Tribolium castaneum: one gene and its partner. The protein of the gene in region 1 purifies or fractionates together with the protein of each later gene. This does not show direct contact. Links are inferred from orthologs where the notes say so. Each region holds a gene or a part of one and is shown in the gene's direction. Other genes may lie near its edges. The genes, in order: eIF6 and protein BCCIP homolog.

Region 1 (4,492 bases):
TGCCCAAAAGAAAAAAAATATATTTCAAATGATAGAGGTTCTAACACGCTTCAATTTGATGCTTTAATGTTATCCCAAATTTTCATGGTATGGGCGTGAAATGTAAAAAACTACATTAATTTTTTTTACACGAAAGTAGAATTTAGAGAAATTCTCAAAATGGTCGATGCTTTGAGATTTTTTGAAATGGAAAAGCAATATAGATTTAAATATTAAATAATAGTCAAAGTAGAGATAAAGTTAGCCCAATCACTTTATCTAAAACAATATTTAAAAAAATCAGTATAAGCAATAAATATGTGACGTGGTCATAAAAAATTCCCAAGATTATAAGTACTATTTGAAGTTTTTTTTTTGAATAACTACGAGTATATTCTAGCGGAATTTGTGAGGTTCTCAACCGGTACTATTTTTTGTTAGAACAATACATTTTTTTTAAAATAAATATGTTACCACGCCTATTATGTTGAGCATATTTTTTGCTAGTACAGTTAAACAAAACCATTCGTCCCAAGTTGTTATTTGAGCTATACATATTTTAATTTTTTGAAAATCTGTTCTTTCACATCTCAAGTTTACAAAGAAAAAGTACTTTAACCCGGGATTCTCATTTAAAAATCTTTAAACGAGTCCCAAAATTGCAAGAAAAAAAATTTAAATCTTGATTATTAAATCTTACTTACACGAAATGTCCCCCATGCAAACACCCTCCCATCGTCCAGTAACGCAGCCGAATGTGAATCCCCCGCCGTAATCTGTATAACTTTCCCAGGCAACTCAACCTCGCCAGGAGTGGATTCCGCATCCTCCTTGCCCTCCGTGATACGTCCAAGTGCCCCCTCGTCATTACACCCAAAACTCAAAATCTAGAACCAACATAAAGCAAACCGACTCAACCCAATCGCAACCGCATTACTTTGCCTTCTTTGGTCAAGCAAACCGTGTGCATACCCCCAGCGCAAATATCGACAATTTCATCACTTGTTTGCACTAGCGCGGGCCTACTTTTCTCCAACACATCGGGCCCCAAACCCAATTGGCCGCAGTCGCCGGCTCCCGTAACAAGCAGAACCCCTTCACGAGTAGTCTCTGGTAATTTCACGCTGTCTAAAGTGACTAGAATGAGAATTTTAGGTTATGGTGGGTACATGTTTACAAGGGCGTACACTTCGCGCGCTTGGGCTTGGTGGCTCCGGCTTCGGTTGTGCTAGGGCGACGTCGTTTACCGGCCATTACTTGCACAATTTTTTATTAAAATATAGCGAAATTATCGGAAAATTGAGGTTAGTGATGCTCACCTTGGAGCGGCAAAAAGCTAGTCGGTTAGTAACTTTTGGTTTTTTGTCGGCTTGATTTGGTAACTTTAACGATTCACGCCAACAGTGCGCAACGAAAATTTCTAGTTTTTTTTGAGGTTAAGCACATTTCCCGTTTATTAATTTGTAGAAAAAGTGTTGTATTGCACGATGGCATTCCGTGTCCAGTTTGAAAATAACAACGAAATTGGTGTTTTTGCCAAATTAACTAACGCATATTGTTTGGTTGCAATTGGCGGGTCCGAAAATTTCTACAGGTAATTGTTGGGACAGCATGGTTTGGTGTCGTGTTAAATTGAATATTTTAGCACATTTGAGGGCGATTTTGCTGATACGATACCCGTGGTGCATGCGTCCTTGGCAGGATGCAGAATAATAGGACGAATGTGTGTCGGAAATAAGAACGGTTTGTTGGTTCCAAACACAACCTTTGATACTGAATTGCAACACATTAGGAATGCGCTTCCTGACTCAGTTAAAGTTCAGCGTGTGGAGGAGAGATTGTCGGCTTTAGGCAATGTTATAGCTTGTAATGACTATGTTGCCCTTGTACATCCAGATTTGGATAGGGTATGGTTTACAAAACAAATTTGTTAACAAAAGTTGTGCAATAATTTATTGCAGGAAACCGAGGAAATTATCGCAGATACTTTGAAAGTGGAAGTTTTTAGGCAAACAGTGGCTAACAATGTTTTGGTGGGCTCGTATTGTGTTTTGAGTAATCAAGGGGGCTTGGTTCACCCTAATACAAGTGTTGTGGATCTTGAGGAGTTGTCGTCTCTTTTACAAGTGCCGTTGGTGGTGAGTTGCATTGTATCGTGGTTTTTGTGTGCTCTGAAAATTTCATACTTTCTGGGAAAAATAAAGAATTTACTGGTATTTTATTTAAGTCGGATGAGAAGCTGCAAAACGAGTAAAGATTAATGACTTTGAACATAAATAATTAATAAATGCATAAAAGTGTAATAAATATTCACTTTTGTGTTGTTAAATTGTAGAAGGCGATCAAGGCAAATGGTAAAACAATAAATCAGAATGAATACCAAATATTATAATATTTTTTATTTAATTACTAGAATATATCAATAAACAAAAAAATTAAGTAGTTAATTATTGTTGCAAGTATGGATGCACAAAAAATATTATAAAAAATTATTAGTACATAATATGCTTTTGCAGGTTGTTTATATTCGTAGATTGATTTTTTTAATGTATATGGTGTTTTATGTTTATTTTTTTATTGTTTACATTTCTTGCGTTTACGTTTTTTTCATTGTTGGTTACTCTACCTTGTGCAGTTACTACAAACCAAATAAAAACAAAGAGAATAGTTTTATCTTTTGGTAGTTTCACCACGTTTTTGAGATAATTTTGTTGTTTTTTTTTTGCTAAACCGTTCCGAAAAATCACTAAATTGGCTTCAAAATGACATTTAGACCAAAAAGTGAACGAATGGAGCCGAAATTGATGCTATTCTGTGTTTTATATGCGTTTCGAAGTACGTTTTCTTCGAGACACACAATTAATTTGCGAAAACTGGACAAAAATTGTGTCGACAGTGATGTTACTTAAGATTTTTTTGGAGAAACTGGGTTGGAAAATCACTAAATTGAGTCAAAAGTGGTCTAAAATTACATTAATTAATCATCTGAACTGACCAAAATTGTTCGAAAATGGTACATTTTTTTGTAAATTTTTACTCAACATGAATTTCTTGAAATTTCGTAAAAAAATTGGTCGGAATGTATATTTTTTTCAGAGCTTATAAATTTTGACAAAAAAACCGAATTGTATCGAAAATTGTGTTATTTATTGCTTCTTGAGTATGTAAGCTCAACATTTTTGTAGAGAAATTTTTCTAAATTGAAAAATAATTAATTTGGTTCGAAAATGACGGATTCATCGTTTGAAAACCATATTATTTTGTGAAATTTCGCAAATGAGAGAATCGATAGAATTATTGAGTCATTGACACTCATGCAGTGTAACTTTTTTTCTTAACATACTATTTAAAATTTGCTTTAATGCCTTTAAAAATTAAAAAAATAATTTACAACAGGATAAAGATTTCTGTTTTTTTTTGAACACCTTTTAGAAAAACGAACATTGGATTATCTTTTGCCTATTATGATTGAATTCGTTGTTTCTTTGGTTTGGATAATTAATTTTCTCGTAATTTGTTACGAAGAGAAAAAATCCAAGCAGTGATTTAAATTTAAATTTTATGATATCTTGGCGGCACTCTTGGCTATATGTTTATTATTAAGACTCATGAAATTATGTTTTAAATTTATTTTTTTAACAGGCTGGAACAGTAAACAGAGGTAGTGAAGTGGTTGGTGCCGGTTTGGTTGTAAATGACTGGACTGCGTTTGCTGGTATGGATACAACTTCCACTGAGTTGTCAGTAATTGAGTCAGTGTTTAAACTGAGTGGAGCTGCACCTTCTTCAATCACATCAAAAATGAGGGCTAGTATCATTGAAAGGTTTTCAATTAAAACAAAATTATTTTTGTTCTTATTACATTTATTTTTTTCCAGCATGTCGTAAATTAAAGATGATTCTTCACTTTATTATGTCCGTTTCAAACAGAGTAATGATATAAAAAAATTCATGTGATACGCACTATTCTCAGTTTTTGAAATGTTGCAAATATGTATATCAATAATTTAATAAACAATTTTTTCGTATTTTTCTATGTTTTATTTCTATACACGAATTAAACCCCTTTTTGAGTGCCCCAAAGACCCCTCATCTAAAAAAGATGAAAAAACGGTATACAATAAGGCTTGAATTCTTGAGTCAGTCAGATTTACAAAAAAGAAAATTGAAATTTAATTTTGAATTATTAAACTAATTCGAATTACTGGCCCCAAATTTTCTTAATTAATGCAAAATTTTAATTCAATCAATTTATTGAATGAATGCAAACATTCAAAGTAATTGGTTTCTCACATTATTTTAATGGCCTCCCTTAAATGGACCAATCAAATCCAAAAATATAAATTTGAATGAATCAAAAAATCTAAAGTGATTGGCTTTTTCCGTAATAATAATGGCCGACCTGAAGCGGCCCAATCAAAATGCTTACAAATTTTACTACAATTCTTACGTGCTTTACGTTAATTCATAAATGATGATTGAGGATGCGTCTGTCTTTGTCGCATCTCCATTC
Region 2 (3,026 bases), on another chromosome or scaffold:
ATTTCGACCAGTTCATAAATTATAAATTACGACCTTGGATTACTTTATTGACTCCAAACCGTAATAATAAGCTTGTAAAGCTTTTATTGTCAGTCAATCGTCAAACCCGTTTCGTCTATTATACCATAACTTCCTCAACATGTGGCACTTGGCAACAATAATGACGACTTACAGCCCCAACCCCCATTTCTTGACAACTTTTATTGAAAAAAACCGAAAACGGCGTCCTAATTAACCCCACGACTTCCTCCCCGAAGCTCCTCAGCCGTGACTCACGTCTTAGACCGGAAGGGGTGACAGGAAACCCCAATTATGTAAGGAAATACCCCTTGAGTCACAAACCTTATCAACAAACCCATCGCAAACTGTCGATGGAAATTCGAGGTTAGCTCCGCCGGGAGCCCCCATTTCCCCCACCAAACAACCCGAAAAGGATAATCATTTTCAAGGATGAAAACTCACCCGACGGACTCGTTTTTTTATAATCCTTTCGGCGGCATAAACATGGTCACCAAGTTCCATTGTTATGGCTGATGGGGACGCATAAAAACTCCGAAAATTATTGCGCACCAGATACTCATCTAAGTGCACAACCACAAATCGAACTCAGCTTTTCTCAGCATTTTCCCGAGAAAAACAATACGGAGTTTTCCGCGAAATTCACAAATTGCGTCCACAACAACTCACTCACATCACATTGGCTTTGGGGAATTTGACGTGCCCGGTTGGATGCACTGTGCGCGCAGCGCAAAGATATTTTTGGCGAAATTAATTCATTTCGCGATTTACAAAAGGCAATCACACATAATCTTCAAGTAAATCACCAGAAGTTTGCACAAAAAGGACTTTGGGGATGTTCTTGCGGTTATCGCACTCGCTTTGCAGCACTTTCCACCCCTCTGGGATAATGGACTCGTCCAGCCGACCAAATTTTCAAAATATTCTTCCAACATTTCAAAAAAGTCGAATATTTTTAGTTAAATTTTTTTTCACGCGGGTTTTATCACATATACATGTTTAGTGTGTCTATAAGGTTACATAACAATTTTTTGTCCACAATAATGTTACTTGCTCATTGCCTATAATTATGATAATTTTTTGGTTCGTGAAAGAATGACAAAGTTGTTAGCAGTAATTTATGTTTAAAACTTTATCTTTTTCCCAGTATTGCCAATAACTGATTGTTTACTGAAAAAAAAATACATTTTTTGCGGCTTTCCCGGGATTTCCCAATTGTGAAGATTAAAAATGCAATTTTAAATCCTTAATAATTTAAATAATTATTCCAATAGCTATCAATTGATATTAAATTAAACTTCATCTTTTTTCAGATTTTATTTTGCCAAACTAGATTTTTGTACTGGTCCACTGTAATCCCTGACACTTGTTTGAGATTTGACAATTCCCTAACCTAGGAATACAAACCGGTTGGCTTGAGAGTTGAGTTTTTAGTGCAAATAAGTTCAAAACATGGCTGGGGCTTCGAAAAAGTCGCGAAAGGTCGCGAAACCCGCCTCTGATGAGGAATATCAAAGTGACGAGTCCGGGAGTTACCATGGCCAACAAGTGGGTACAGTTTTTGGGGTTATACTTATGACACGTGCTCTTGTAGGAAATCCAAGCGACTTTTGAAGGCCGAAACCCCGAAGGCCAAGATTTTCACGGCATTAAACAGTTACTGAATCAGTTATTTTTAACTGCACATGTTGATTTGGGCCAAATGAGTGACATGCTTATTTCTCAGGCTGGAATTGGATCTGTTTTGAAGCAAAGTTTTAACGATAGCGACGACGAGGAAGATATTGAGATGGTGGAGGAGTCTGATGTGTTTGGTATCACCAGTGTTATCAATCTAACGCAACACAAGGTGGTTGTGTTTATTTTGCAACCTGGGGATAATAGGGGGTTTTCAGGAGACACCATGTGTTCAACAACTGTACAAGTTAGTTGATGATGAGGTTACGAAACAGGCGGATCCTGAAGCTAAATCGTTATTTAAAGAAATTGTGGGAAACAATTCAAACAAAATTGGTTTTATTATCAATGAGCGGTTTGTTAACATACCATCAAAAATCTCCCTTCCTATGCTACACGCATTACAAGATGAAATACACAGAATGGGGAAGAAGAATGACGGCTATAAGTTTGATTACTATTTAATGATTTGTAAAAACTGGAAGTCCAAAAGCGACGGTAGTGAAATCGTCTTCTCAAATGATGAAGAAGAAATCTTCTGGAAGAAAGCTGACTGTAGGTTTGAATACAGTGTGGCCGGAAAAAGTGACACAGGACTGACGGGGAATTGGCAAAGTGAAGATAAAGAGTTGATTCCACACAGAGTAATCATTTTGTTTAAAGCGGACAAACTTCCAAGTATTATAAGCGAAATACAAAATTTTGTGTCAAACTAGGCTAAGAATAATTTTTTTTAAAAGCAAAGTGTATATTTTCTATAATGAAATACTATTACATGAAATACACACACTTAAATACTAACTAGGGTGCGACACAACGCCACATAGTACAGCTATGTTTTAGAGTAAGAAAAATAAACAAAGACAGTGAACACAAGTCAAATACAGTTGAATACAAAAAATAAGGGACAAAGTTCTAGAAAATTAACTAAACCGAGAAGGTTTGAATTGGTTTAGCACTCAACCACTGGTAAAAAATTAAACGAATCATAAACCTTTCAAGATAAAGATATGCTGAAACCTTCAACCGTATTCGCAGCTCAGAACGCAAATTTAAATAACTATTTTTCGTAAAAATCGTAGTACACTTTTCTTAGCTTATTAATTTGATCCCCAACTTCCCTGCTTTTCTTCAAAGCAATTAAATTAATTTAAAACAAAATTTTGCTTCGCCTTCTAGTATTTAGACTTAGTTTCACTTAAAATAAAAAAAATAAATGCCACTAATGATCAATAATGCTTAGGTGGAGGTTCAAAAATAAATTAATACTGATTAATGAGATCATTTTCCTTGACCAAATTGGGATGAAAAACGGTAAAAACAGCTAAATT

Evidence for each region.
Region 2: the proteins of eIF6 (region 1) and protein BCCIP homolog purify together in Homo sapiens (affinity purification with mass spectrometry; 3 studies listed by BioGRID and IntAct, counting the BioPlex papers as one, with this or other methods). This does not show direct contact. The link is inferred for Tribolium castaneum from reciprocal best matches to the Homo sapiens genes EIF6 and BCCIP.

What each region holds. Positions count from the first base shown.
Region 1 is NC_087394.1:11,178,912-11,183,403, forward strand, and holds eIF6 (eukaryotic translation initiation factor 6), read left to right. Parts: upstream 1-1,432; 5' UTR 1,433-1,466; coding exon 1,467-1,573; intron 1,574-1,624; coding exon 1,625-1,886; intron 1,887-1,940; coding exon 1,941-2,117; intron 2,118-3,621; coding exon 3,622-3,803; intron 3,804-3,857; coding exon 3,858-3,867; 3' UTR 3,868-4,007; downstream 4,008-4,492. Other genes in the region: Rcc1 (regulator of chromosome condensation), read right to left, coding at 684-866, 917-1,116, 1,167-1,233. UniProt on the Homo sapiens protein: Binds to the 60S ribosomal subunit and prevents its association with the 40S ribosomal subunit to form the 80S initiation complex in the cytoplasm. Behaves as a stimulatory translation initiation factor downstream insulin/growth factors.
Region 2 is NC_087395.1:14,256,420-14,259,445, reverse strand, and holds protein BCCIP homolog, read left to right. Parts: upstream 1-1,380; 5' UTR 1,381-1,470; coding exon 1,471-1,566; intron 1,567-1,612; coding exon 1,613-1,867; intron 1,868-1,913; coding exon 1,914-2,411; 3' UTR 2,412-2,439; downstream 2,440-3,026. Other genes in the region: polycomb group protein Pc, read right to left, coding at 463-522. UniProt on the Homo sapiens protein: During interphase, required for microtubule organizing and anchoring activities. During mitosis, required for the organization and stabilization of the spindle pole.